4 linked regions of the Diceros bicornis minor genome follow. The protein of the gene in region 2 purifies or fractionates together with the protein of the main gene of each other region. This does not show direct contact. Links are inferred from orthologs where the notes say so. Each region holds a gene or a part of one and is shown on either strand. Other genes may lie near its edges.

What was found.
Region 1: the proteins of SMAD7 (region 2) and TGFBR1 purify together in Homo sapiens (affinity purification with western blotting; 19 studies listed by BioGRID). This does not show direct contact. The link is inferred for Diceros bicornis minor from reciprocal best matches to the Homo sapiens genes SMAD7 and TGFBR1.
Region 3: the proteins of SMAD7 (region 2) and USP15 purify together in Homo sapiens (affinity purification with western blotting; 3 studies listed by BioGRID). This does not show direct contact. The link is inferred for Diceros bicornis minor from reciprocal best matches to the Homo sapiens genes SMAD7 and USP15.
Region 4: the proteins of SMAD7 (region 2) and ACVR1B purify together in Homo sapiens (affinity purification with western blotting; 3 studies listed by BioGRID and IntAct, with this or other methods). This does not show direct contact. The link is inferred for Diceros bicornis minor from reciprocal best matches to the Homo sapiens genes SMAD7 and ACVR1B.

What each region holds. Positions count from the first base shown.
Region 1 is NC_080767.1:9,159,040-9,166,453, reverse strand, and holds the start of TGFBR1 (TGF-beta receptor type-1), read right to left. Parts: upstream 3,008-7,414; 5' UTR 2,993-3,007; coding exon 2,908-2,992; intron 2,325-2,907; exon of another isoform or gene 2,212-2,324; intron 1-2,211. UniProt on the Homo sapiens protein: Transmembrane serine/threonine kinase forming with the TGF-beta type II serine/threonine kinase receptor, TGFBR2, the non-promiscuous receptor for the TGF-beta cytokines TGFB1, TGFB2 and TGFB3.
Region 2 is NC_080755.1:41,553,826-41,560,989, forward strand, and holds the start of SMAD7 (mothers against decapentaplegic homolog 7), read right to left. Parts: upstream 3,002-7,164; 5' UTR 2,472-3,001; coding exon 1,859-2,471; intron 507-1,858; coding exon 453-506; intron 1-452. UniProt on the Homo sapiens protein: Antagonist of signaling by TGF-beta (transforming growth factor) type 1 receptor superfamily members; has been shown to inhibit TGF-beta (Transforming growth factor) and activin signaling by associating with their receptors thus preventing SMAD2 access.
Region 3 is NC_080756.1:7,670,014-7,677,756, forward strand, and holds the start of USP15 (ubiquitin carboxyl-terminal hydrolase 15), read right to left. Parts: upstream 3,010-7,743; 5' UTR 2,913-3,009; coding exon 2,824-2,912; intron 1-2,823. UniProt on the Homo sapiens protein: Hydrolase that removes conjugated ubiquitin from target proteins and regulates various pathways such as the TGF-beta receptor signaling, NF-kappa-B and RNF41/NRDP1-PRKN pathways.
Region 4 is NC_080756.1:18,121,302-18,128,386, forward strand, and holds the start of ACVR1B (activin receptor type-1B), read right to left. Parts: upstream 3,017-7,085; 5' UTR 2,989-3,016; coding exon 2,898-2,988; intron 2,387-2,897; exon of another isoform or gene 1,971-2,386; intron 1-1,970. UniProt on the Homo sapiens protein: Transmembrane serine/threonine kinase activin type-1 receptor forming an activin receptor complex with activin receptor type-2 (ACVR2A or ACVR2B).

The sequences.
Region 1 (7,414 bases), on a different chromosome or scaffold from region 2:
GCCCAGTGGAATTGCTGGGTGAACATCAGCCCCACCTATTATTACCCATACAAATAGCAACCTCAAACTCCAAGATGACTTTCTCATTTGATCTCCATGCTCTCATGAATTAGGAAACGCAGGTATCGTCCCCATTTTCTGCACAACTAGAGGTGAAGTTGGGACTCATAACCAAAGCTAATAACCAACTGCTTCTTTCACCACATCATACGACTTTTCCTGATTCTATACACAGAATTATCAATTAATATCACATGAACTGTACATATAACAGTATAAATACTAAAGGAATACTCAGTCAAATGCAATTCACTTAATGAACAAGCATTTAAGTGGAACAAAATATAAACCACAGTGCTAGGTTCTGAGAGCATAAAGGAAATAAAAGACATGACTCTTGCCCTCTCGGTACCTATCACATGTTCAAGAGTATAGTTAAGTAACAGTGCAAGACAGCAGAAATGGACAGCACAAACTGTAAGTGCTATACAGCTCAGGGAAATGGAAAGTTCAGGAACTAAACCAGTATAGGAAGTCAGGATCGAGTTCTCTCCTCATACTCCCAGAAGCGGCAAAATTAAGTATACAGTGAAAGCTGCCAAGTCAGGAGTCAGAGGGAAGACAGAAATTGCTGGAATTGAGGGCTTGCAGTAGTGAGAAGTGAGCTCTGGCTGGATACTCAGAGATGGCCCTAATCATAAGCTTCAAGCGCTGCTCTAACTGCTGAATACAAATGGGAAATCTTGTAAACCCTTTATGGGATGGCTGAGGAAGATTAGCAGTAGCCTATAGAAAAGCCTAGATGAGAGAAACACTGGAAGCAACTAGATTTGAGGGATAACAGGCAGCCTAAAGTGATGGCTGCGTACAAAGAGGAGACATTCAAGAGGCATTAATATAAAGAAGAGTTGAGTTTTAGGCAAGTGTTCAAAGAAAAAAGTTATGAAATGGCAGAAAGGAAGCAAACAACATTCTCACATGGGTTATATACATAGATGTAGTGGGACTAAACTGTGTACCAGGAACAGGGAACCCATGTTCCTAGAGAAATCTGTATGGGAGAGAGCAGAAGCTGGGCAGAGAAATAAAAAACTGATAACCCAGACAATAAGGAACAACTGCAAGCTCTTAAAACGAGGCCAGGCAGACCAGCTGAGGTAGTCCAGACAAAAGCAACAGCACCTGTATCAGCTTTGTGTTGCATGCATGCCAGTGCAGTGTGTAAGCTCCTCCAGGGTGCGGACTCAGCAATCTGTCCATCAACTAAGGGGAATACTGTTATTTGAATACCTGAACACTCTGTGTGCTAGGCTAGGTGGAAAAGAGTGAACTACACTATTTGAGTTAATGGTGTTGTGGAAATGTTATGTATGCTTGACTCATAACTATATTGATTCTCCCTGCTGTCCACATATTCATCTTGCCTGCCTCCTTAGGCCAATGTCCAAAATCCATTGTTTCCTCTAATGCAGGCCCAGTGTGAAGGGACTCCAAGAATGCAGTAGGAATCAGAAAGAAGCCAACCTGATTTTCAAATTGCAAGAGCAAAATCTAAATGTGAATAATAAAGATCAACTGCTCGTTACAGGACTGAAAAAGAAAAATGGGCTATGCAGGACGGTTAGGTGTATATACTAAGCTTGTACAGGTTTTGGAATACTGAACCCTGGGTGCAAACCCTAACTCCAGCTCTTAGTAATTGAATACTTAACTTCTCCCCTGCCTCAGTTTTCTCATCTATAAAATGGGGCAAATGCCACTAGCCCTGAGGGCTTAGTTGTGAGAATTAGATAATGTACTTCGGTGTACTTTATGCATCTACATCATAGTCAGCTCTTAACAGACAGTAGCTGTTAGTAATAATTGGCACCCTCAGTCTTGAGTTTTTTGTTTTTGCTTTTTAAAATATCTGGTATTCAATTTCAGAAACAGAAACGTATTTTCACTGTATTTTAGTTTCCAACGCTAAGGCTCTATTATTTTAGTTTCGACTATCTTAGTTTGGATGCGAACAAAGTTTTTAGTTCCTCCTTGCACGACGGTAGGTGATGACCACGTACCCCATCCTGATTTAATATTCCGGAAAACGGAGCAAACATTTTCCCTTGAAAACCAGCTACACAGACGACTGATTCAAACTACTGTCACTCAAGAAAGGGAACATCACTAGCGACGTTCCTTCGAGGAAATAAAAGCGTTTGATCAACTCACAGAGTCGTTCCCATTCAAATACTCCAAACGCCGCAGAGTGAGCAAACGTTCAAGTTTCTACTACGAAAACAATCTGCACCATTCTGATTCCCGGATCCACTTCAACCCCTCCAGACGCCCGAAAGGAGAGCCCCTCCGCACATCTTCGTGCCTCCTGCTCCTCCTCACACGAAGCTCCGCAGTTGCCCCCCCGGAGCCGCGCCCGGCCCGAGGGGCAGCCCCCTCGGCGGGGTCGGGCCGGCGCCGAAGGCCAGGGCGGCCCCGCTGACCCCGGGGCTCCACCACACGTCGCCCCCGCCCGCCGCGCGGGGAAGCCTGGAGGCTCCGACCCCGACCCCGCCCGGGCGCCTCGCACCCGCCGCTCGGGGTGGGGTACCCCGGGGGCGCGGGGAGCAGCCCCAGGCCCCGCCAGCCTCACACCCCCGGCCCTCGGCGCGCGCCCACCGCCCCTCAGAGGGCAGCCCCCGACTCGGACGGCCCCGCCCGACGCACCTCCCCGGGAGCGGGGGCGGCCGCGGCTGCCGGGCACGGCCACCCGCGCGGACACACGCCCCCGCCCCGCCCGGGACAGCCCAGCGCCGGCCCCGGCGCCGCCACCTGCGCCCCCGGCCCCGCGCCATGTTTGAGAAAGGGAAGGAGCGAGCCAGAGGCCCGGCCCGGCCCGCGCGCCCCGCCGCCCGCCGCGCCGCCGCTCACCCGCCGCCCGCGGGACCAGCGCCGCCGCCGCCGCCAGCACGAGGAGGAGCAGCCGGGGACGCGGAGCAGCGGCCGCCGCCTCCATGGTCCCCCCCGCCACCGCCTGTGGCCCGGCCCGGCCCGGCCGCCGCCTCGCCTCAGCAAGCCTCGCCTCGCCCCACCTCCCCCGCCGCCGCGGCGGCCTCGCTCCGGCCCTTTGTAACTGCTCCGGGGACGCGCGGCCATTGGCTGCCGGGCTCCCGCCGGCCACGCCCCCCGGCCGTCTGCGAGCGGCCGCGCGGGCCCCAGCCCGGAGCCCCGCCCGCGGGCCCGCCGGGCAGCCAATCCGGGGCCGCAGGCGCCCGGCCGCTGGCCACGCCCCCACGCTCCCGGGGCGCCGTGCCGCCAGACCCCGGTCCCGGCCGGAGCCGCTCGCCGCTGGGAGCAGGCTCGGTGGGGCCGGGGTCTAGGGAGCCCCTGCCCTGCGACCTTCCAGTCCCGGAGGAAGGTCGGGACGATGGGTGTGTCTGGGCGTGTGTGAGGCGCTTTCGGAAAAGGGCTGTGGCGGCTCGACGCTCTTTTCTTCTAGCCTCCTCTAGGCGCCTAAGATCTGGGACTGACCCAGCGCCGCCCCGGCCCCCATTCACAGCCCTGCACCACCCATCCCCATTCACCCAGACCCGCAGTACCGCCGGCAGGCTTCAACTTCCGCTCCCCAGATCCACGCCTTAACTTTCAACATCCCCCCCAAGATTCTTCGTCGTTGCCCTTCCTAGACGACTCAGTCTCCTGTTTCCTCCCACTGTCAGCGTCTAGCCCCAACCTAGGCTCCCCGCCCCCCAAATTCCAGGCCCAGAAAGTCCTCAAATCCTGGCCTCAGGTCCCAGCCTCAGACCTCACATCCTAAGCTCAGACATACCCCCGAATAGCCTCCCGCCTCCCTCCGGAACTCAGAGCAGACCCAGAACGGCGCTCCAAACCACACTCCTTCCCTCTTACCCCTCCCTGATCCAGGTGGGAAAGGGAAGGCCCCCCCCCCAAAGGAGGGGGATTCCCCTTCTTAGCACGCAGCACCCCCGGGGCGGAGAGGAGCAGTCATTACTTTGAGCTGCCTCTGACACGCCTGCACAATAATTCTGAGGTGTCGCTGGAAACCCAAATAACCTCGGCTACGTTTTCATTCTGAACTCCTACTTGACTGTGAGACGCTCCACCCACCTTCCCCCCGGGACGCCAAAATGAGCTCCAGATTTGTAATTCTTCCTGTCAGACTAGTCCTCTCTTCAGACGCAAACACAGCCAAGGAGGCTGCTACAGAGAACACAGAACATTTTTCCACAGAACCTTTTAAGGAGAAAATTTTATTTTCTGTGTGATTTGAACTTGGAATGAAATAAACCTTGGGAGCAGGGATCGGAACCAGCCCTTAGCATCGCTTTGTCAATTACTTTAGCGCGACCCCGTGAGCCTGTTACCTGCCTGTGAAGACCTCCCTTCTGAGCTGCAAAGCGACAGGATGCGGCGTGGAGCTGGGATCTGAGACCTGCCCTATTCCCCTCCGGGCTGGGACAGTTAAACAAGTCAGTTGGCCTTTCTGAGCCTCCATTCTTTCATCTATAAAATGGAAATAATATCTATCTCCCAAGGTAAGTGAGAGGATATGATGAGATTTGGGGGTTCCACATCCCGCTTTCAAGTTCCACTTCTAGGCCCTCCCTCCAGACCCCTCACCTGCCCCTCTGGAGAGGTGAGGGCCTGGTATACACTGAACCACCTCCCCAGGGATGCAGCTACTGCTAAAACCCAGGTCACGGCCTGCTCTCCAGGGCTGCTGGAGACAACAGCAGCAAGCTTTCCTCTCGCCCGCCGCAGAAGGCTGACCAAACCAGGAGAGACTGCTTCTGGCCGGCTCCAGTCCCAGTCTGCTCTCTCTGTTCCAGTTTCTTCAGTGGAGACTTGGTGGGTCATTCAGGGCCTTGTGACACCTGAGGTCGCAAGACTGCTTTTTTTGCTGCTCTATTCTCAGCGTCTTGCATAAGAGCTCAAGAGATATATATTGTATGAATGAATGAATGATTCATCTCGGACAAGTGACTGTTCTCTCATTACAAGGTTCTTCATCTCTAAAACAGAAATATAATGGTACCTACCCCATTTATAAATGAAAGGGGTTGAATCACACGTCTTAGGCCCCTTAAATGACGTAATGTGTCTGGAATATAGTAAATATTTAGTTAATGCCATTTCCTTTGCCCATCCCCTTCCAGCTCTGTATGATTCTAATCAGCATGCGTGTTCATGCTAATCCAAGCCTTTGCCGTGCAGAGCCTCAGTTAATCAGCGTTAGGATATCTTCTATGACACACTTCCAGTTCCTTAACATTTTCCATGCAATGGAGTGTTCCTTAGGACACTGAGGAACAGGAAGGAGAAAGAGGCTATTTTTAAATTTTATTTTCCTAATATTTGGAGGAAATTTCCATGAGCCACGGATCCATGAATAAACTACCTTAGAATGGAATAATAAATTATAAGTTTAAAATCATGGTTCTCAAACTTTAAAATGTCTCCAAATTACCTGGGGAGCTTTTAAAAATACAGATTCCGGGGTGTCAGCCCTAGAGAGGCTGCTTCCGTTCATCTGAAGGAGGTCCAGGAGTCTGCATTTGTAATACACACCCCGGGTGATTCTGTTGCACGTGTCACCAGGCCACACTTCGAAAGACAGTGCTTTAGAAAGTATGCCCTTAAAATTCAATAAATAAAAATGTACGCACTTATTTCACCTTTTGAGAAACTGTGGGTGATGGAAAGAAGCCTCTGGCTTTGGAAGCCTTCAGACCCTAGTTGGAATTCCAACTCTGCCATTTACGGGTTGTGGGATCTGTACACACTGCTTGATCTGTCTGAGGTTTCACATCTCCTGGTGTGAAATGGGATAATGACACTGACTCATGGATTTGTTGTAAGGTCTAAATGACCTATATAGCACATGAAGACTCTATCATAAATGTTAATTCCCTTCACGGTCTCTATGGGCTCTCAAAAAGAGTTACAGGTTTGTTATTCTAACATTTTGATTTAAAGGAGAAGAAACTGAGGATCAGTCCCCCAGCAAGTCAGCTGCAGAGCCAGGACTAGGAGACGAACTCCAGGACCTTGTCCCCTATGTGATGCTACCTCTCAATCTTTATACTGAGTACATTGTCTGCTTTTCCTTTTGGATTATTCCCTTAAGTAAGATGTTTTCTCCCAAACAGAGAGCAAAGACTGCTGGTTGCCTAATCTATACCCATTCCTACATTCACTTTATAACAGAATCCTCATTTCCTTTAGGAAAGCAGTTCACCTAGGTAAAAATCTCAATTTCCCAGGCTCCTGGCACCTAGATATGGCTATGTGACAGAGTTCTGGCCAGTGAAATATAAGCGGAAGTTTACCGGGTAGAGCTTGTGGGAAAGATATTGTTTTCCCTGTAAAGAAGAGACAGACTCATCACATTTTCACCTTCTTTCTGCCTGGAACACAGTTGCATTGCCTGGAGGTGCAGCAGCCATCTTGTGAACATAAGGATGTTGGCTATAACTAGGAATAGTAGAGAGAAAAGTGGAAAGAGTCTGGGTCCTTGATAAAGTCCTTGAGCAACTGTGCCAGCTCTAAAATGCTTACCCTGGAGTCCTTACTATATGAGAAAAATAAACATCTTCCTCTTCTGTTTTTTTTTTTTTTTTAACCTTAAATCACTTCAATTCTAGTCATATGCTATCATTGTTGTGTATTTTATTTCTATCTTATTTTTTAACCCACAGGATATTATTGACTTATACCATTATTGTCTATTGCTAGCTCTTGGTGCTCCTAATGGAATAACAAATCACCTGAAAACTTAGTGGTTAGAATAATAACCATGTGTTCCTCATGAGACTCTGTGTAGGCTGGGCAGTTTTTCTGGTCTGGGCCAATTGACGCTGACCTCAGCCGAGCTCGCATGAGTCTGCTGTCAGCTAGCAGGTCAACTGGGAGTTGAACAGATCTGTAATGGTCTGGATCAGCTCCTCTACGGGGTTTTTCATGCTGAAGCAGGCTTGCCTGGGCGTGTTAACACGACAGTTCAGGGGTCCAGGATAATGAGTGCACGTTTACAGCTGGCACAACATCATTTCGCCACATCCCAGTGGTCTGGGCATGAACTGAGCTGAGCTCAGTTTCAAGGGGTGGGGAAACAGACTCCATCTCTTGATAAAAAGAGCTACAAAATCACCTTGCAAAGGGGCGTGGATCCCAAGAGACGAATACGTGTGGCCGTTTTTGAAACCCTTTTTACCATTTTTTCTGATCTTCATTTCTTTTTACCTTGAGACTTTCCATCTGAAATCACTTTCATTCTGCCTGAAGGATATCCTTTTGAATTTTCCTTAGCGAGAGTTGGCTGGCGGCAAACAATCTTAGTTTTTGCCTGACTGAAACGTCTATATTTAATCCTTATTTTTGGACAGTGTTTTCACTGGCTATAGAGTTCTAAGTTGAT
Region 2 (7,164 bases):
CTCCAGGCCACGGTCCTCTCTGCACTTTTTTAAACTGTCTTCCCTTCCATCAAACTATCCATTCTTCCCACCCATTCTTCTGGCACTCCCAGAGTCTCCACATTTTCCCATCAACCTGTCCTATTTGGTTCCCAGGATACTTCTGCGTGGATCAAATTCCACGTGTTAAAGCTGAGCCAACTTTGGCCACGGAGTGCAAACACACGAAAAAGGAACAAAATGTAAAGCATATCTAGGAAACGTCGCTGCCTCCCCCCTAAACATATATACATATCTCCAGCCACAACAAAAACAGGAAAAATCCACCAAACTTCCAACAGAGGAAACCTATAACCACCCCCGACCAGACCCAGCGCCTCCCCAAAGCCACTGCCTAGACATAAAAATCTTGGTTCTAGAGGCTCCATTTCTAACTTAAGATAGGAAGGATATTTTTAAAATCATCTACTCACCAGTTGGTTTGAGAAAATCCATCGGGTATCTGGAGTAAGGAGGAGGGGGAGACTCTGGAATTAAAAAAGTAAGAGAAAATAAAGGCCGGGCCATGAGAAAGAGAGATAGAAACTTATGATAACAGAGGCATTCTTTTAGCCCAACTGTTTGTCTTAGCTGTGGGGGTTGGAGGCAGGGCCGCGAGGCGGTGATTGCCTTGATATTTAGCTGTCAGATAAACAAAAGAGGCCGCCTGGCGCCAGCCTCGGCGCTCCGCTCCTCCACGTCTGCGGCCGCAGCCGCCGCGCTCCACCGGCCCGGCTGGAAACCACCGGCTCGGCCGCGGCCGCGCACTTCACAGTTCACAAGGCGGGGGTCTACATAGCCCCCTCCCCGTCCCCGAACTTCAGCCTCGCTCCCACTGTCCACCGCCCAGGCCCGCCCCCCAGGGGCGCAATTCACCTCCGCCCCCGCCGCTGCGCTCCGCGCCCGCGCGGGGAACGCGGGGCTCCCCTTACCCAGCCCACCCGGGAGGCGCGCCCCAAGAGCGCTGGTGAACGTAGGAGGGTCTGTGGGCGCCCAGGATGCACCCGCGCCCCCATCCCCCCGCAGAGACGTTGAGAAAAGGGAAGCAATGGAGGCAGCTGGAAGGATAAAGAGGAGGAGGCTGGGGTCTTGGCGGCGAAGCCCAGGCCCCAGCGCATTAAGAGGCAGCAACGTCACGGAGGCGCTGGGGGCAGACCTACAGTCTATACAGTTCCATAGTCTGCGCTTTCCTGTGCTGAAAGAAAGGAAAAAGCAGGGGACACGCAACTTCTCCTGACTGCTTGTTCTTTTCCACCCTGAGCTGGCAGAGTTGAGAGTAGATATCCAGTTTGGCCTCCCTCCCTCCCTCACCCTCTTTGCCCCAAAACCCCAAAGCTGCGCATCCAGGGCAGTATCCGGGCCACTTGTGCACGACGTGACTCTCCTTATTTACTAAAGGAGCAGAGGCTCTCCAGCCTTTACGATTCGCTTCTCCCAGCCTTCCTTGGCGGGCTTGGACCGAATCCAACTCGGCCACACACCTCAACGCCTTTCCGGGCGCGGGGGAGGCGTGACCCCCAGTTCTCTCTGCACCCCGAACTGATCCGGAAATGAGAGCGTCTCATTTTTAGCCACACGTCTGTAGAGTGTGTGCACGAGCAGTGCCCATAAGCCCCCCTCGGAGCAACCGAGGAGAAAAAAACTGGAAGGGAACCCCCCAGGGAATGCCCTTCCAGTTTCCCCTTGTTCCTTCTCTACTTTGGTCGCCCAAGTCTCCTCCCAGGAGGGAATGTACACTCCCCTCCAGAGAGGTGGCTGCACAAACACAGCCCGCAGGGGCTTTTCTTCCACCGCTTGAGCGCCAGGGGGAGGGGAAGGTGGGCACAGAACAACTTCTTACCTAGTTCGCAGAGTCGGCTAAGGTGATGGGGGTTGCAGCACACCAGCTCGGGGTTGATCTTCCCGTAAGATTCACAGCAACACAGCCTCTTGACTTCCGAGGAATGCCTGAGATCCGGCCACCTGAACACTTTGCACAGCAGGAGAGGGAGCGAGTAGGACGAGGGCGGCTGCGCGGGCTGCGAGCCGGCGGGCGCCCCCAGGCCCAGCCTGCAATCCAGGCGGCCGGGCAGCAAGAGACACGCGGTGCGCGTACCGCCGCGGGACTCCACGGCCTGGAGCAGCAGCTCCAGCTGCCGTTCCTTCAGTTTCTTGAGCACCGAGTGCGTGAGTGCCTTCAGATCCGCCTCGGCGCCCCCGGCCGCGCCGGCGCCCGCGGCTGGGGGGTGGGGATGGTGGTGACCTTTGACACCTCGGACCGCCTTACCCAGGCAGCAGCCAGCCCTGCCCGCGCCGCCGCCACCGGCCCCATGCGCCCGGCCGTCCGTCGCCCCTTCTCCCCGCAGCTCGCCTCCTCCTCCGCCTCCCCCCGCACCCTCCTCCTCGTCCTCGCCGCCGGGCGCACGGCTCCTCCAGAGACGCCGGACGAGCGCAGATCGTTTGGTCCTGAACATGCGGGGCGAGGAGGCGAGGAGAAAAGTCGTTTGCCGGCTAAGGAGCGAACATGACCTCCGCACACCATGAAGAAGTCGGGCGCCGAGTTGGGGCAGCAGGCGCAGGCGACAGCAGCAGCAGCAGGGGCCTGGGCAGGAGCGGCGACGGCCCGAGGGGCGCTCCGTGGCATGCGCCAGTCTCCCGGAGGCCGGGGCGAGCGCGGGGGCCCGGGGGCGCCCGCCGGGGCTCGGGGGCCTGCGCTCCGGCTGCCCCACCCCGCGCGGCCCGCGCCGTGCGCGGCTCTCGGGCCCCGGCGCACCCCGGAGGAACGCGGCCGCCGCTTCCCTGGGGAGGACGAAGCCTGCCCGGGTCGGCGCCTCCCCAAAAAGAGGCCCCCCCGCAGCGGCTCCCGAGTGTCGGGCTCGCCAGCCTCAGCTTCCTACATGGAAGATCCGCGGGGGGCAAAAAACGAAAGGCGTTCGGCTGGGCTGCTGGAGGGAGGAAAAAGCCTCTTTCCCCCTTGCTAAGCAACTTAATTTGGGGGTGGGGAGAAGCAGGCAATTAAAAAAAAAAAGCAGGCACGCGATTTATTTTTTTCCTCTATATCCTTAGTAACCGGATCTCCTCGAATTCCGTGCACACGAAGACTCGGGGGAGGGGGCCGAGTGGACTTCACCCCGCATGAGATGTCTGGCGAAATAAGGAGGCTCTCTCAAAATCTAAGAACCCAATATGCAAAGCCAATGAAAAACACCACCTCCTCGCACCCCGGAGGTCTGGGGGCGTCCGGCTGGAGCTGGGGTTTAAAAAAAGAAAATCTTTACAAAGTAGAACGAGACGTTTGAGGGGTGGAAAAAGCGTATCCACGAGTTACATCCCCCTTTTTTCCTTGCAGAGCCCCGCGGGTCTTCCTCTCCTTTTCTTCTGCCAAAAGAAAAAAATCGTATATTTTTTTAATCCACAGAAAGCTTTGGCTAGGCTGCTTCAATCCTCCGCATCTGGGTGTTTTAAGGGAGTCTCTGGTCTTTCCTCCTGCGCTCCCGGGGGCCCCAGTCCTCGGAGGGGACTTCCTCGGGGCTGGCGGGGGCGCAGAGGCAGAAGATGCTGCTGCGGCGGCGGCGGCGGCTGCGCCCGGTGGGGCTGACAGCGCGGGGGAGGGCGGCGCGGCGGCGGGCCCCTGGCGGGTCGCGCGCTCTCGCCCTCCTAGGCGCAAGCTGCTCGCTAGTGCGGGGGCCGCCGGCGCCCCCTCCCCTGGCCGCGGCTGGCCGCCGGGGCTCCCCGTGTGGGCTGCTCGCCCCGACCCGGCTGCGGCGGCAGGAGGCCCCGGTGTCCTCACGCTGCCTCCTCCTCTGAGACTCTCCTCGTCGCGCCCGGGAGCCTCCTTGTCCCCCGTCCGCCCTCTCCTGGCGCTCGGGTCCTTCTGCCGCCGCCGGGGGCTCGCCGCGCCGCACTCAGGGGCTCCGGGGCCGGGAGCTCGGCAGCTCGGCGCCGGCGGGCTGGCTCTGTCTCCCGCAGCTCTCTCCGGCGCAGCGAGCGGACCGAGCACGGCGCCCGGCTGGCTCGGCTGGCGCGGCTCGGGGACAAGCTCCTCCGTGCGCCGAGCGAGCGAGCGAGCGAGTGTGCCCGGGGCTCGCCGCCTCCCGCAAGGCCTCCCGCCCCCGCCCCCTTCCCTCCCCCTTCTTCCCCCTTCCCTCCCCCGCCCCCAGCCGCCGCCGCCGCCTCTTCCCCGCCCCCCGCCCCCCCCCCCCCCGCCCCCGGCCCTCTGCTCTGCTGGTTCCACTGCGCAGTGGCGCGCCCGGCTCCGGCCTCGTCACGTGGCCGTCTAGACACCCTGTCGCTTTAAAAAAAAAAAAAAGCGATTGTGTTTCGCAAACAACAGATCGGGTTTCTAAAAGCTATTTCTCCCCCCGCCCCCCCGCCTCCGCCACCCCCTCCCGGGCCTGCAGAGGGGGGACCAACGACGGGGGGGCGAATAAAGGTGGGGAGCAGAGAAGCTCCCAGAATCGACTGAGACCTGGCCGGATCAGAGGAGAAATGGGAAGACCCGAGAGCACCGAGCGGGCTTCGCTGGCGAGTTTTGGAGCGGAACGAGCGGGTCGGTGGCCCAATTTAGACCCAGCCGCGGAGCTTCGCCGCGGCCGTCCCGCGCGCGCTCGCCCTAAGCGCTTCATTCATTCGTTCCGTTTTAAGGGCCCTGGCGGCGGATCCCCTGGCCGCGCAGGAGGGAAGGGGGAGGAGAGCGCTGTCTCCGTCTAAAAGACATTTACACCGGACTGGACCGAGGCCCTGGGAAGTGTGCGCTGGAGGGAACAGCCGGGCCGCCGAGGGCGGGGAGGCGGCGCGAATGTGACCTCAGCGGCGGCCGCGCGCTCCCTCCCGCCCTCTCCCGCTCCGGGCTCGGGTTTCTAGGACTGCCTGGAGAAGTGTGTCTTGTGTACAGCTCTGGAATGCATTTGGCTGGCTGACGAGCTGCGAGGGGCAGCATCCTGGCGGGAGAAGTCGGGGGGGGGGGCGGAGTTGCCCGCCCGCCGCGGGCAGGTTTCCTCCGGAGCCCGGAAGACCTCCGCCACCCCGCCTCCCAGCGCGGGAAGGTTACCTTCGGAGCCGACCTGCCTAGGGCATGCATATGCATGCGGGGCCTGCTTCTGCGCCCTCCACGGTCTCGTAGCTTTCAAGGTGCTTAGGGTCAGAGAGTTTATCCCTTAACCCCGGGTTCGGGAGAAGCATAGACCCAGCTGGCAGATTACTGCATGAAAATGGGTGAGGATTGGTAGGGCAAAGGACGAGAACGCGTTTACTTGGTGAAAGCTGATGGTACTGAGAAACATAATGACTTACATATATATGCATCAGTACTAAGGAGGCCACTAGTTGGCATGGTGATCTAACCTCACTTATTCAGTGACATAAGATTTTTTTTAAAGTCGTTTAGAATTGTGAGATCAGGACAATGAAACTCATTGGGGATTTTAATAAATCTTTAGAAAAGACGAAATGTACTATTTTCATTTTCCCAGCTAAATTATACTTTCTTAAAAGGAAAAGGCACAGGGACTGCCAGGTGGGGTTTGCTGGTTCGGATCCTGGGGGGCGCACCAACGCACCACTTGTCAAGTGGTCATGCTGTGGCGGCGTCCCCATATAAAGTGGAGGAAGATGGGCATGGATGTTAGCCCAGGGCCAGTCTTCCTCAGCAAAAAGAGGAGGCTCAGCAGATGTTCGCTCAGGGCCCATCTTCCTCACAAAAAAAAAAAAAAAAAAGGAAAAGGCACAGATGAATCTTAGCTTTATAGCTCAGCCCCCTACCTTCCAGCAACTTAAAAGGAGTCTGACATGCAATAGATGCTTAATAAATATTTAGGAATCAACAGAGTTGGATAGGACTTAAAGGAACATTTGGACCACTCCCCCTCCCCCAACCCACCAAAAGCACCTTTGAAGACATAAATGTGAGAGAAAAACAAGAGACATTGGTTACATGATCATCTTCAGGCAAGGGAGCCCTGAAGTTTATTGACCTAGAAGACACTGCAACGCCAAGCAGTGCAGAGAGGTGTGTAGGACAGGGCATTCTAAACATTTACTTTGTAAGGCCACATAGGCTGCAATTGTATAAGATCATAATTTGGTTATAAGTAAAAATGCTGCTTATCAAGAAGGACATTGAAACCTTGTGTGTCTGTGTGAAACTTTCTAAAGATGCAGCCTGCAAAGACCGCAGCTGAGGAGCCCAGGGGAAAATGGAGGAGGGAGGTTTGGACCCGGGTGAGCCCATCATCCTTGGCAGGGAAAAGCAGAAGAGATAGAATGAGATTTTTGAGGTGTGTGGGAAATGTATAACATACTCCCCTTAGAAAGGCTTAGAAAAAATACCAGACTAGAAGTCAGAAAACCTGATTCCGGGCTGGGGCTCTGCCACTCATGGGTTAAATAACTTGTACTAGTGGTGACCCTCACCACTAGTTGAGCACTTGGCAGGGTTTAAAAGCTTTCTGGGCAAAATTTCCTGCCCTCTCGGGGTCCCCTTCCCTCTCTCTACTCTGGGCCTCACTAGAAGATCTTCAATTTTCAAGAGAGGCTAGGCCAGGCTGCAAAGTGACAGGAAGGACTTAAATAAACAGATTAAGCAAATGTCATAATTCTAATTAAGCTTCTTGGCTAAATGAAGAATCTGGAGACTTGGAAATCTGGCCAGTGGTGCTAACACTCTGTGATGAGAGGACAGAGCACGCACAGGGCAGGTAGGTTCAGTAGGTGTTTCAGGAGTTGAATCTGACGTCACAGCTTGTCTGGGTGGAACATGCATATACTTGCACAGATATGCTCCCATATAGTGTAATTGTGGGTATTTTAATTCAGGCGTCACCCCTATGTTGCCCTCTACACACGGTTTTCCTCCTCCATTTTACTACCCTAGGTAGACGATGGGTGGGATGCTGGGCAAGTAGCTACAATGGTTGGTGCTGCTTTATGGCTCCTTGGCATCCCCTGAATCAGTTCACATCCCAAGCCTTCCTGAAAGCCAGCGCCACGCCATCGCATTCTTATTTCTTTCCCTTCCAAGAAAGAAGCTGGGCGGTAAAGGAACTCCCGGCTGGCTCGTGTGCCTAGAAAGGGAGTTCTTTTCCTTTCCACAGGCACACATGAAACCGACAAGCACCCCGTTTCAAACTATTCTGATCCTGTAAAAAAAAAAAAAAGTTTAGGAGTTCA
Region 3 (7,743 bases), on a different chromosome or scaffold from region 2:
TCTTGCCTCAGTTTTGACTTTTCTGTCACCATGAAATCTAGTACCAAGCATATCATAAAGTTTGTTCTTCCTCATCTCAGACTTTGTAACTTATTTTTATCTCTAGAAAGTCAGTTTGCAGCTAAAAATCATTCACTATTTACAAATAAACAGAAACTCTAATATTCATGCAGAATCAAATTTTTACCCTTGCCTAGATGTTAGAGTTAGTTACCAGAGTACTACAAGACAGTCCTTATTTGAAAAGTGCTCACAAACTAATTAATGAAATTTATTCATTTTAATGCATTTTACTATAACATTAAAACATCAGTATTAAACTTCCAAGAGTAAACTTATGGTCAACCTACCAGTTTTTTAAATAGACCAATCAGTCTTTCCAAGATGGTTTTATATATACGTGTATATATATATACCAAGACAATGTTCCATTTGCATATGACCCATTTCAGCTATAAAATAACAGATAGGATTTGCCAAAAGACCCAGAAATGACTAATCCAGAGACTTTTTTTAAAGACGTTAAAAAGAGAAATAACTTTTTAAAGAGTTCCAAAAACATGAGCTCAACAACCAAATTATTAAATATTTTTACCAGTTCTGTACACATGAAGACACTGTCAAATTTGTAGTTACCAAATTACTTTCCTTAAAACTGTGAATCAAACTTTTACTCTACACTATTTCCTTTTTCGACTAGTTTCACCTGCTAATTGCAAGTGGCTCACATATAAACCAAACTGGTTTCTCCAACTCACCAGTACCATCTCATTCCTGCTTTCTTTTTCCCTTTAAATAGGAGGGGAAATCAGCGTGAGGGTAAAAATTTGCACATTCTGCTGTTACATAAATATCTGAGCCTCAGTTTCCTTTTCTTTAAAATGAAAGCACTGAAATCACTCAAATTTACGGACTTCCTGTATTTACTTAATCTCTAAAATAGATCTTTAAAATGATTTACAGTAACTCTGTCAAAAAGCGAAAAGACTTTCATTTGAAAAATACCAAACTTTACAAAGTTTAATGCCGACAATACACAAATTGCTCCTATCATCCTGTAATGTTAACAACACCAATTATTACTCAGTATACCAAAAACATAACATTAGAGAGAAGCAATATCCATATAAATCATACCCAGATTTAAACTTACAGGTTTCTATTTTATGGAAATCCACATTTGTCTTTTCATGAGGTGTTAATAGGGTAGGTGAATTAGGAATTTTTAAGTGTTCTTTAACAAACAATAGGAAGCAGGAGTTGATTTCCTCTTTAACAACCCACAGGCCAACATAAACATGTGTCGTAAACATAAATGTCATAGGAAATGTCCAATTTCCCCACAGTAACAAACATCTTAGGAACACTCCAATATGAACAATAACGATTATTAAATCATATTTTTTGCTGTAATGCAAGAAGTATATGCTTACACCCTTAGAGATTTTTATCATATAAACATAGTATGCAGCCTAATGAAGTGGGGAAAAAAGTACCAAGACTTAGATCAAAGTACTTCAATTCAAGTCCCAAGTCTGCCATCTACTAGCTTACTTGAAAATTATCCCAATCCCAGGGCATTTTTCTAGAAGTAAAGGGTGGTGATAAGAAGGTAACTAAAATCTAATGTGATAAATAGAAAAATCTTTTAGAATATTTCACCGAATGTAGATAAAACCCCTATAATGAAATTATTATTGTCCATTTCATAGATGAAGATACCGAGGTGCAATGATTTAAATTAACTTTCCTCAAAGTCATACTGCAAGTTAAGCGCTGGAACGGTGGCCTGACTCAGGTCTAAGTCTTATGCTCTCTCCACCAAGCCATACTGGAGTACATGACAAAATACTGTAAACTATATACCCCTGTTACGGTGACACTGGGAAGGGAAAATAATTTTTACTATAACAAAGAGGCACATTATCTTTCCTAATAGAGCACCTTCCCTTTATGTTACATATTCACACATCGAAGTTATTCCGGATACCACTTGATACGGCCGACAAGTATTAAAATCTCCACATATCTCCTTCAGTATTTTAAGTATATCCTTTGGTACTCTACAAGTTTGAATACTGGCAAGAGACTTAAGCCTCAAGCGGACTTATCTACTTTTTGCAGGCCTACGTTATCCCTCAAACAGGAGGGAAGGACTGCACTTGCAGGAGAAACGCTACCGGTTTCTCTCGAGCCTCCACTAAAGCACAAGACCACGTGGTATCGCTCAGCAGCCCGAGGTTCCCTACTCCTCTCCCTCCTTTTGACAAGGAACTGGAAACTAGGATTTCTTTCCCTGAAGTGGCGCCCTGACACATGCCACCTGTGTAGTACGAGCCGCAAACATCCTGCAGCCTGCCTCCCGGAAGAATACAAGAATCCGAATAATAGGGAAGCTGGATGCCGACGAGGCCGGCAAAGGAAACGACTGGAGGAGCGAAGCCGGTGAGCCCGTGACCCGCCGCGGCACCGGGACCTGTCAAACCCTGAGGGACTCACGCCGAGCGGCTGAAGCCCATCGTCCGGGAAGGCCCGGGGTGGGAGCGGCACTCCGGAGGAAGGAGGACGGGGAGAACCGCAGGAGCCGCCGCCGCCGCTCCCCGCAAGCCTCTCAGCACGCCCCGACAGGCCACCAACCCCGGGCCTCATCTCGAGTCCAATCTTTGCCCCCACATTTCGGGAGTGGCCAAAATCCTGCTGCCCAGAGCGGCCGCCGCCGGACCTGCCCGCACCTGTCACCAGCGAAAGACACCAGCCCGCAGTTCCCGCCCTGCTCCCCACCATCCTCGGGCCATCGCGGCCACCTCAGCCCCTTTCCCTCACCAGGTGTCCCCTTTCCGGAGCGAGGTTTTGAGCAGAGCCGCGATGTCAGACCTCTGGATGTCCAGATCCGCCGCTCCGCCTTCCGCCATCTTCTTCCACTAGCGGCAGCGGAGGCGGCGGCGACGGCGGCGGCACGCCCCAGAGCATTGTGGGAATGGCGTCCCGCGGCCCCGCCCAGCCGGCAGTCGAAACCAAAAGAGCCGGAAGGTGGGGGGTGCGCCTCGGCACAAGAGTCGGCCCCGGGGCGGGCTGAGCGCGCTGCTGTGGTCTGCTGCCCCCCACCGGCCCCCGCCCGTCCAGCAGCTCGCCTCGGCCTCCTCGGCCCGGCCCGCCCGGCGCTAACTCTCCGCCGTGGGGCCCCGGTCCGCTCCCGCTCGAGCGGTGCCACCGCCCCGTCCGTCCTCGACTTCTGCCTCCCCTCCCTCTTTCCCACAGACGCCCGAACGCCCTTATTTGCGCATTCACTCACGCTCACGGTGGGTGGGGCGGGGGCGTGGGGACGCTAGGACATGGCAGAACATTTCGACAGCTCCGTGACTCTGGGCTTTTCGTGCGAGCTCGCTGAATCTTGGCCCAAACAAAGAACGATCCGAAACCGAACGCCTGGCCGCAGTGCCCTTCCTGGGCTCCTTCCAGCGCTCCTGCTCCTGCTGTGCGGGGACCTGCCACAGGTCATTGTGCCGCCTCCCCAGGCACACCCAGACCGCCAGCCGCGGTGAAAACACGTCCCACTTCCTCGGCGGACAGGGTGTCAGATAGGTATCGAATGATGCGGAGTACCGAAGGGGAAGAAAACGCGCGAGAAACCCTTTCTCCTCGATGTCATAAAGCGACGTATTCTTGGCCGCAACTCCCCGTGGTGTGTGCGCCTGAAACTAGATAATAACACCAGCTATTTGAAGCCAATTACGTTACAAATGGGGAAATCGAGTCTCTCAAAAATCAAATGCCAAGGTCATACCGTAAGTGGAGAGGCAAGTTTATACCCCAGGTTCCGAAGCCCACGTGCTATCTGTTCGCTACAGCACACTCACTACCTCTCCCTGCGAAAATCGGAACTAAAATGTAAACCGGGCTGCACTGGATCCATTTTTTTTTAACCTCTGTACAGCCGGTGGCTAGCACAGTGCTGCCTAACATGTAAGAACCACCTAAATGTTTGTTTGTTTAATAAATGAGTTTTGGCAACATGAGGATGTTCAGAGATTTGACTCTATTAAGATAACATAGATGATGTGGGAAGTCTAAAAGATGGTTAAGAATTCCTGGATGATCTCTCTTGTTTCCCCATTTTAATGTCTGCCTCAGCTCATTTGGTGGGAATGATGGGTGTAATTATGCTAGTACGAAGTCCTGAACCCTTCCAAGTTACAGTAGTGTTTGTTGGCATTATGATTTGTATGCATCAGCGTTATAGTTGCTTATTTTCTTCAAAATAATACTATTTTGTATTATGTCATCCTTGATTTGAGAATCTGAAAACAGTTTCTAGTTACTGCTATTTCTTATACTATTTGACTTCTGACAGGTTAAGAAATTAGAGTTTCTCTTACCATGAATACCATCACATTTCCCCCCTTTCCCACCCAACCTCTGAAAGAGAGCAAACTAATTTTCCAAAGAGAGGCAGCATAGTATGGGAAGAATATTGGAGTCATATGAACGTGTGTTCAAACCTCATCTCAACCTCTAGCTGCAAAGTTCTTAACTTTTAGTTTAATCATAAAATTGAGGACAGTAAAAATCCTTACAGGATTTTTATGAAGATTAAATGAAACAACGTGTTTATTGCCTGGGACATAATAGCCAATTAATAAACACTAGCATTGCTATTGACAGGATGAGTTGTATCATATGTAAATTGTATCTCAATAAAGCTGTTGAAAAAGAGCACTATGGACTTTGAAGGCAAAACCATGCTTTCTATCATTTATACACATAACATTATCAAGAAGCGATGCCTCAAGCACACTCTGCTGTTCAGTTTCCTTTCAAAGAAAATGCATTTTTGAAATGTTGAAGCCTGTATCCGTGCAACAAATTAAAATAACTTTTCTTCATTTGCACCATGTTCAAGGCAAGGAGTTAACTGGATATAGATGTGTAAATTCAATGTCAACTTGAATTATATGTCAGATTTGTGAGGTCATTTTGTTGACCTAACTAGATGTATTCGGAGTCAGAAAAGAACTGATAGTTACAGTATTTTATTTAACATGCACTTAAAGAGTGCCAAGCCCAGTTCTAAACACTTTAAAGTGTTAAATTAACTTGATCCTCATAGCAACCCTGTAAAGTCGATGTTATAATTTCCATTCTGTAGATGGGGAGTTGAGGCCAAGGGCAGAACCCAAATTTGAAAATGAGCAGTCTAGCTCCAGAATCTAGAAGGTTTGGGTAAGTTTCTATTTTTCCACTGACCTTTATGATTTTGATTCTAGCAATCAACTTTCTAGTGACCTCAGTTTACTAATTTATGGAAATCTGCTTGTTTTACTAATGCTTCTTCTACCCTCAATTATGAAGAGAGATAAGGTGTTGTTCATAAATACTAAATTAAGGTCCGCATCGCTACTGAATCACTAAGTAGATAATTGATGAGAAATGTTACTTTCCCTTAAATTACCCAGATAATTGAATATAAACCTGGGGTTATATCTGCTTATTTTTATTGAGCATCTTTGTAACCACAGGCACACTTAGAGCCAGTTGGAGCAGACCCCATCTCTTATCAACAAAGTGATTAAGGATTGTCTTTCAGAAAATCTGCAAAGTCGTGTAGCCAGAGTATGCGCAGAAGAAGAATTCTTGACCTGAAATGACAATGGAACCAAGGATCCTCCTCCGCATGGAACCAAAGGATCAGAACACGACTGGAACTTAAAAGTCAGACTCTTATCAGAAGTGAGGAGTCCCTCATTCAGGAAGATCCGGTGTTAAAATTCCTTCCCCACCCTATCATATAAGTTGAGAAACTCATCATAAAAGTTTAGAATGCTGTCATAAATGTTTAGAACCTTACCATAAATGGTTGAAGCCCACCAATCAAAATCTGTCCCACCAGCATTTCCGCATGCCAATCTGTTTCCGTAACCACTTAAATTTTGCCCCAAATCCTGAGTCCAGGAGACAGATCTGAGGGCACATGCCCCCTTCTCCTTGCAGATCAATCTCGCAGAATAAAGCTGATTTCTCCCCCAAAAGCTGATGCCATAATTAATTGTTTTTTTAATGCATATCAGGCAAGAGAACCCCAATTTTGTGTGGTAATGTCTTCATTGATGCTTCATTGATTGCTTAGTTAACTTTATAAAGATGTACTATTTGTTTGGTGATTGTCATTACCTTCTCAGACTTTCTGTACCCTTCTTGTCCATTAAAAACTTGACTTAGGGCTTTGAGAAAGGAAAAGGAGTGTGCTGGATGCTTTAGAAATTAGGCTGGATATGAACAAAGTGCACCTTACATAAAGGCGGAGTAGGTTCTGAAATTAGAGATACTCTGGGAAAGATCCCTTCATCTTTCAAATAATTCCCCTCTCAGCTCGCTGATACGTAAGTGATCTTTTTCAGAGAGGTTCTTGTACTCCACAACTAAAAGATAGGACTTCAAATATAAACACTCCAGGAGAGAGTCAGGCTTACAACTGAGGAGTCAAATGAGAGGCAGTTTTCAACCTGGGATGGACCACAGAAAGAAGAAAGAACACTGTGTTTTTTAATAGAGTTGAATGGAAGAAAGTACAAAGGAGAATTCCAAGACAACCTTTGCCTACTTGACAGTTTTGTATGGCGCTGGCTACACAAATCTAGGGAAAAATCTGCCAGAATCAACACATTCCCTAAAAGAACAATGATTGATGACCTAGCTGTCTTTATTTCTCAACTCTTCCTATCTTTGGTCTTCAGGAACCACTGTTTCCCTTTATCCTTCTTCCCTGTTCTTCCTCTAGTTGTTCCCTCTGATTACCCCCTCACCGCACCTCCCATTCCTGTTCACCTCTCTAAGCCCTTCATTCTTTTCTCTTTCGTAATTTTATAACTCCCTCCTCCCTTGACTAGCTCTCTGAACAGCTAAAAGGCAGTGGAAGCGGGGGCGTAGTGCAAATGCCAAAACAGCATGTAGTAAAGTGCTTAATCCATTAATGAGATTTTGAAACTTGCGATATGAATAAAAATTGTAAGTGCCACGATGCCGTTTTTAAAACTAAAATATATATATATACACACACACACACACACACACACACACACACACACACACAGAGGCTCTTTATTTCAGACAAATGTTAGGTCCTGATAAACAGAAAGAAAAAGTAGTGAAATGAATACAATGTCTTGTACAAAGGGCCAGTATACTTCGATTTTGCTTCTGGCTTGGTGCCACTAACTACCTGGGTAACCTTGGCCAAGTTATTTAATCCCTGTGGGCATTAGTTTTCTCGTTATAAAATGAAGTGATTAGATTCTTCCAGGGCTGAAACTCAAAGGCTTGCAAGGGTTAGATAGAGCTACGTAAGTGGGTGAAGCAAATCCGTTCTAAGATAGCAAGGAGTTGTGGGGACTCCGAGGAACTGTCTGACCCAACTAAAGTTATTTAGATTAAAATATTTGAACAAAATTACATCTCCTACCCTAAAGGACCTGGAAAGTTTCATTTTAACATGGGCATGAAGTCTTCAAATTGATTAATTTGAGTTGATTAATCTGAATTGCTACTTTATATTTTGATTAATAATCAAAGTTCAATCAATAATCAAGTAATATAAAGTTGCTACTTTATATTTTCTTTTATGGAAGCACACACAAATTGCTATGAAAGCTGACACTAGCCTGAAGGGTGATGTCAGTCTACTCCATAGTAGATACACACTAAATGATAATAGAATTAAACTGAATTGAATTGATAAACAAATCCAAT
Region 4 (7,085 bases), on a different chromosome or scaffold from region 2:
GAAAACTGAGGCAGTCACAGAAAGGTTGTTCAAGGATAACTGGTAAGGGAGCGAAGTTCTAGGGCTGAAAACCAGCCTCCTCCCTCCATCTGGCTCTAACCTTTAACCAGAGTAGCCATTTTATTATGTTTTAATCACATCTGTTCCATCTTGTAACAAAACTAACCAGAGATTCTCTTCTTCTCTACAACAGTTCACTTGCACTGTACTTCGAACCCATGTCCACTCAACAAAATTACAAGTCTTGGCCTGAAATGAGATTTTTAGTCTGTTCACAGAAATTCAAAATGTTCCTATCAGAACCTCACATCTCCCTTGTTGCTCTTGTCTTTAAGAAATGAATGTCATGTTCTCCTGCTAACTAATTCAATTTTAACTTTTTAAACACCAATGTGAAAATTCCAAAGCTAGGCCTTAAAACACGGTACACCTATCAAATGGATGTTGTTTATAACCTGGTACTCATTTTCCTTCTCACTGGCCTTTTGCTAAGTTGCTGTTAGTTCACTAATTAATACAAACACCCATCCTAGCTGCCCTCATGTCATGTCCAATTGCCAGGCATCAGGGCCGCTAGGCTCTGCCACTCCCCCAGCCCACCTAGCGGAGCCTGACTGAGGCAGTGCAGGGGAGGAAAGCAATCAACTTCTTGGTATCCCACAGCCTCTGTTTTCCCAGAACTGACGGTTTACTCTAAGCCTTTTGCAACAGTGGTCTCTGCAGCATGCACTACTGGCAACTAGATGTGTCCCGGAAAAAACTGTAGTGTCTGGCCAAGAAGTTTAAAGGCCTTCGAGAATGTTTGCTGGACACACAACCTAATTTCCAATTTACCAAAAAAAGAAACTAACTCCCTATCATGCCCACCCATCCTCACCCCAACAAACATCCTTTTTAGGAAGGTTACAACAAATGAACTCTGCCCCATTCAGAACCAGTTGGATTATCAATTAAACATTCTTTACTAGGCTCACACCAACAAGAAAAAACCCATAGGCACTACACCAAATCAACAGGGAAATGGCTGTGAGAAATCTTGGATATATCAGAGATAGGATAAAAAGTCCTATGGAAGGAATTTAAAGATTTATTCATACACATATAAAATATCAAACTTGAAGGCTGAGTCCCCTTATTTACTACCTCACTAGAGAAATAACATTACGTTATACATGTCAAAAACATGGCCCATCAGAAGGCCCAGCAAACATTATTCATGGAAACCATTCTCGTACAACAAATGTCAGGCTGTGTTCATCCACCTTCATTGTATTTATCAGACCCCACGGCATATTACCCACACCACAGAGCAGCGAGACCCAGGAATACACACCAGGTGCTTAACAGAAGCATTAGCCAGTAAACAAAGACCCCTCTGCACAGGCTGCACCACTGGGAGCAGATATCAAACGTGGAGACAATGAACTTGTTTTTGAGACGCCAAAGTACAATGATGTCTTTCCTTGATTGTCTGGTTTATTAAAGAAGACTGAATCCACCTGAGAATCATTTTTAGTGGCGAGGAGAGCCACAGAACACACACTTGATCTCCCCTAGCTGGAAGGCTAGGGGCAGCTGGGAAGTCAAAGCAGTAGCAGGCTTTGTACATCAGGAGCGAATACAATCCTTATCATCTCTCCCAGATCAATCTGTGGGTCAATAATCACTTCAATATAACTGCCAAATATAACCTTCATCTGCCACCCCAATGCCAAAACACATTTGAGACGACTCTCTTAAATTAAATATTTTAGGGTTTCATCTGCTCTTCTCAGCCCCCAAAGCCTCATAAACAACACACCCAGTTGAGTGTCCCACAGAAAGGTACCCACCTCTACAGTGGGCAGGGTGGGGGTGGTATCAGGGAGCAGAAGGCTGTGGGGGTTGGAAGGTAAGGGGTGTATGAGAGTGCGGGAGTGCGTGGGGGGAAGGGCTGGGAAGAGGGATTGTGTGGGAAGGTAAGTACTGACCAAGGCCCGGGAAGACGGTCCAGTGGTGGGATCTTTAAATAATCTTGGGGGGTGGAGGCAGGTTCTAGGATTTCACCTGAAAAGGCATCCACAGAGTGATTAACTGAATCGGCCCCCTGGGGTGGGGTGGGCGAGGCGAGAAGGAAAGCAAATACACCTAGATGCAGATTAACCGTTCTGGAACCAGGTTTCCTAGGGTTAGAGATTCCAGAGCAAGCTCCAAAAAGGTTTAGGGGCCTGTTCGTCTCACTTCCTCCAAACAGCTTCCACAGGGCATGAGTCCTGGAGGTGGGGGTTTTACCCCACTGAACTCAAGGGACTGAGCGAAGGGGAAATGTGACTCCCTTTCCCAGAAGATTAGGGAGGAAGGAGAGGGAGGGGAAGAGACACCCCAAGTGCAAGATCTGAAGGGAAAGGTTAGAGACCCCTTCCCCTATCATCTGAGGAGCGCAAGGCCTCTCAACATCAGGATACCTCGGACAAGCAACGACCCCATCGCCCAAGCCCCACAATCTTGGCGGGAGAAAAGGAGCCCCCCAGGAGCATCTAGAGGGAGGGAATGAAGACCCCCGCCCCCGAACAAGCTGAGGGACAGAAAGATGATCTGCAAATCTTGGGGAAGGAAGCCCGCACTCCCCTCTATGGAACATGGGGGTGCTGGGAGAGCGACCCCCGAGAGCTCCCCAAATCCAGCTCCGCCTGGAAGGGGACTAGGGTGTCCAGGGGCCCGGCGTGAGCTGGGTCCCGGCTGGGCGGCCGCGCCTCGGGCGTCAGAGGAAGCCGACTGAGGGTCACCCGGACTCCTCCGCGACCCCCGCCCGGCCATATTGTGCGCGTGGGGAGGGGGCGCGCTGTAGCCAGGGGCCGCGGCGCGAGGCCTCGCCCTCGCCCGGCCCTCTCCATCCCGGCCCCCGCCCCAGGACTCACCCTGGATCCCTCGGGGCCCAGCCCCGCCGCTGCCGGCGAGCAGGAGGACAACAAGAGGGAAGAAGGAGGAGGCTCCGGCCGACTCCGCCATAGTAACCACCGCCGCCGCCGCCGCCGCAGCCCAGCAGCGCCCAGCGCGCGCGCGCGCCCCCGGCGCCTCCCCTCCTCCTCCGCCCGGCGCCGGCACGTGCGCTCCCGGCGGAGCCGGAGCCGGCGCCGCGGCCGCCGCGCGCGCCCCCGAAGGGCGGGGCCGGGTGCGCGCAAGCGCCCGCCTTAAAGGGGAGTGTCCCTTTAAAGGGATGGGAGGGGTTCGCGCCTCGGCCAACCTCGCGGGTGGGTGCCGAGTGCGGCGCGGAGGAGGCCGAGCCGGGCACGCAGCCTCAGCACTCTCCTGCACCCCACATAGCGCATAGTTATTCTATCTGCACCGACCCCCTTCCCCCGGCATCCAGTGTTCTATGAGTCCGGTGCGTTCCCTTCCTTTCATCTCTACTGCCTAGCCTCAAGCCCCCATCACGTCCCACCGGGGTCATGGGCACCGTCTCCTAACTGGTCTCCCTGCCCCGTCTGGCCCCGTGCAGTCCTCTGGACGCAGAGCAACCTGTGTGATGGAATCATGGGATGCCCCTTTTCAGAACACACCGAGGCTGTTAATGATAGTACTCAATCTTGGCGAGGGTGCTGTGTGAGGCACTCCCATTGTGCTGGTAGGTGGAACCCTTTTGGTAAACAATTTGGCATTATATATCAAATGCCTTAAAATATTCATACCCGTTGACCCTGTATTATCCCCTGTCTTCGAGAAATAATAGAGACAAGGACAGATATTTATGAAAAATGTTAACTGTTGCATATTTATTATTGTAAAAAGCTGGAAACTTAAGTAGGCAATAATGGACAACTTAAAATATGGCCCATCCATATGATGATGCATTATTTAGTAATTAAAAATTATGTTTATAAAAACGAAGGACATGAGAAAATGTTCATGAGATAATGTTAAATGAAAAAGCAAAATACAAAACTATGTACGGTATTCTAATTTTGTTGATTATATGTATCTATGTGGAAGGAAAAATGAAAGGAAATGACTCAATATGATCAGTTATCGCCAGATTAATTATTTACTTTTTCTTTAAACATTTCAATATTTTCTAAATATTTTACAAATAAACAAGTGTTACTTTCTATTATAAAAGGTAAACTAAATCACCCGTATCTTTTTGAAAGGAGTTCACTTTCTTTAGCTTGAGAAAGAGCTTGAGATCATGAAAAGGGCAGGTCTGTGGAGCCAGAATTCTGTGGCTGAATTCTCCTTTTCTAACTAACTGGTGTGAAAACTTAGGCAAGTTTTTAACCTCTCTCAGCTGAATTTCCTCATCTGAGATCTATGCGTGGGGAGAATGACCAAAGGCGGGGGAGGATTCTCAAAAGGAATCCTCGCCTTATAAGTTGTCACCAACCTGAAGAAGGCCCATCCTCACATCCAGAGAAAAGACTACGGACACATTCCCCCGACACAACTCACACACAAACACACGTGCCAAGTCATGCAGAGGCACTGTCTACAAGTTCGTCAGTGTGGCTGGATGAGTAAACACCTTATTTTTTACTGCTCTCCCTCATCCCCACAATGGGCACCCCCCCCCCCCCCCCCCCCCCGGTCCCTCTAACTGGTCTCCTAAGCTCCGCTCCACCCACCCTTAGGGCTTCCAGCTGTGGAAGGCAGGGCGCTAGGTTACTGTGTTAGTTTGCTAGGGCTGCCAGAACGAAGTACCGCGAACTGGTGGCTTAAAATAACAGAAATTTATTCTCTCACAGTCCTGGAGGCTAGAAATCTGAAACCAGGGTGTCAGCAGGCCGATGCTCTCTCTGAAGGCTCTAGGGAAGAATCCTTCCTTGTCTCTTCCAGCTTCTTCTGGTGGTTCCCAGAATCCTTGGTGTTCCTTGGCTTGCGGAAGCATAATTTCAATCTCTGTCTCTGTCTTCACGTGGCCGTCCTCCCTCTGTGTTTGTACCTCTGTATCCAAATTTCTCTCTTCTTATGAAGACACCAGTTGTTGGATTAGGGTCCACCCTAATCCAGTATGAATTCAAGTAATTTTAACTTGTTGACATGGAAAGATCCTATTTCTAAATAAGGCCACGTTCACAGGTTCGAGGTGAACATGAATTTTGAGGGGACACTATTCAACACAGTACATTCACCTACCCCTACAGTGGGGAAGGGAAAGCTGACCGCTCAGGAGCACATCTCTGAGGCCAAGGGCAAGTGACTGACCTTCCCTAAACCTTGCTAAGTGCTGCCACTGTGGCTGTGAGACCAGGAATCGCAGAGGGGACCTGTGGTTACTTAACTCCTGGACTGCAAGGTCAGCCACATACCTGAATATAGCCCAGGAAACCAGAATGCTGCGTCCACAGACCAAACACCAGCTCCATCAGCTCACTTGATAGCATTTGACTTTGGGCAAGATGTGTTACCTCCCTAAACCTCGATTCACTCATCTGTAAAACGGAGCTGATGATGGTTCTATCTCATAGAGATGTTGTGAGGATGGATGAAGATACTGTATGTTAAGCCCTTTGCATAGTCTCTGACACATAGGAAGTGATATAAAAAGAATAGCTGTGATGATGATGATGATTTGACCTTTACTACAATCCTATGACGTGGTTGAGGCATGTCAGGGTATGCACAATTTACGGGTGAGGCAGCTGAGACCTAGGGAAGGTAAGCGACTTACCCACGCTCACATATAATTAAGTGTAGAAGCCACAGCCTACTAGACCTGTGCCTCTTCAACATCACAGCATCTCACGCTTTCCCAGGGACTGGTCTTCAAGAGCCAGGTGAAGGTGGGAAATTAGACTTGATGGGGTGTGGGGGATGGGGGGGTAGTAGTATCCCTCACACCCTATTCCTGACAGTTTGGGGCATCTCCTCAAGTCAGAGCTTTCCTAGATGATGCATCTACCTTGCCTTTTAGGTCCCAAGCTGCACCGAGACAGATTGTCCAATCTCCCTCTGCTTCCTCCCACAGCCTGGTTCTCCTACCATCCCTGAAGCCCTCAGCAAAGTGTCCATTTCTGAAAGCCTCCTTAATCTTAGGCCTGGACCCACATCACAGTCTATGAACTACTTGTCCGTCCTGCTGTTACTCCCCAGGCTCCACTGACTAGACCATCCGGTGTTACAGCTGCCATCTTGGTCACAATGCACCAAGAGACCCCACCTCCTGGGGGATTCAGCACAGTTTGCCTTGGCGAGCAGCAGGGTCATTAATCCCAAGAGGGCAGTAGCTCATCTTCATTCATCTATTCTACAAGTACTTATTGAGCACCTACTGGATATCAGGTACAACATACAAACATGGATGAGTCATGGTCCTTGCCCTCATGGAACTTACAATCTAACAGAGATGAGCATGAAAAATAAAAAACCAACAGTGTGTTATATGTATTCTATAGCACACACATGTAAAGGGTAAGTGGGGGCACTCAGGAGGGCATGGATGATTCAACTCTGCAGGGACAAGCTAAGGAGGTGGAAAAGGTTTCATGAAGAGGCCATGCTACAACTGACTATTGGAATATCAAAGAGTGTTGCCTAGATAGACAAGCTTGTTTGGGGCAGGGTACGGCAGGAGATTATTCCCGCCAGAGGGAGCAGTATGGACAAAATACCAAGGTGAAATTGCCTGGCATTTGGGGGAGCCGTAAGCAACATGGCGGCACACCCAGAGGGTGCTCGTTGAAGGAGCCTTGAGCTGAAAGGTAGTGTTGGAGAGATAGACAGACATGGAAGTACGCTTGAAAGTGTACTTTTCTCCAGTATTTTTGGAAGGGTTCTAAGCAAGGAGGTAAAAATCACATTTGTGTTTTAGAAAGACCGCTTTGCTGAACCAAAGGAACTTGAGCTTTGTGCAAATGGTTGGAGGAAGGCAAGACAGGTGGGAAGGAGACAGAGAGGAGGCAATTCCAGTGGCCTAGACAAGATAGGAGGAGGACCCGACCCTAGGCAGCAACAATAGAGATGGGAAAAAGAAACAGGTTGAAGAGATTTTAAGTAGGTAGAAACCACAAGACCGATTGGATGTGGGAGGTGAGGAGGAAAGGGGATGGCCCTCTATGACTCCGGGATAATCTGACTTGAGCGTTTGGCTGCTTGGTGGCTCCATTCAGCAG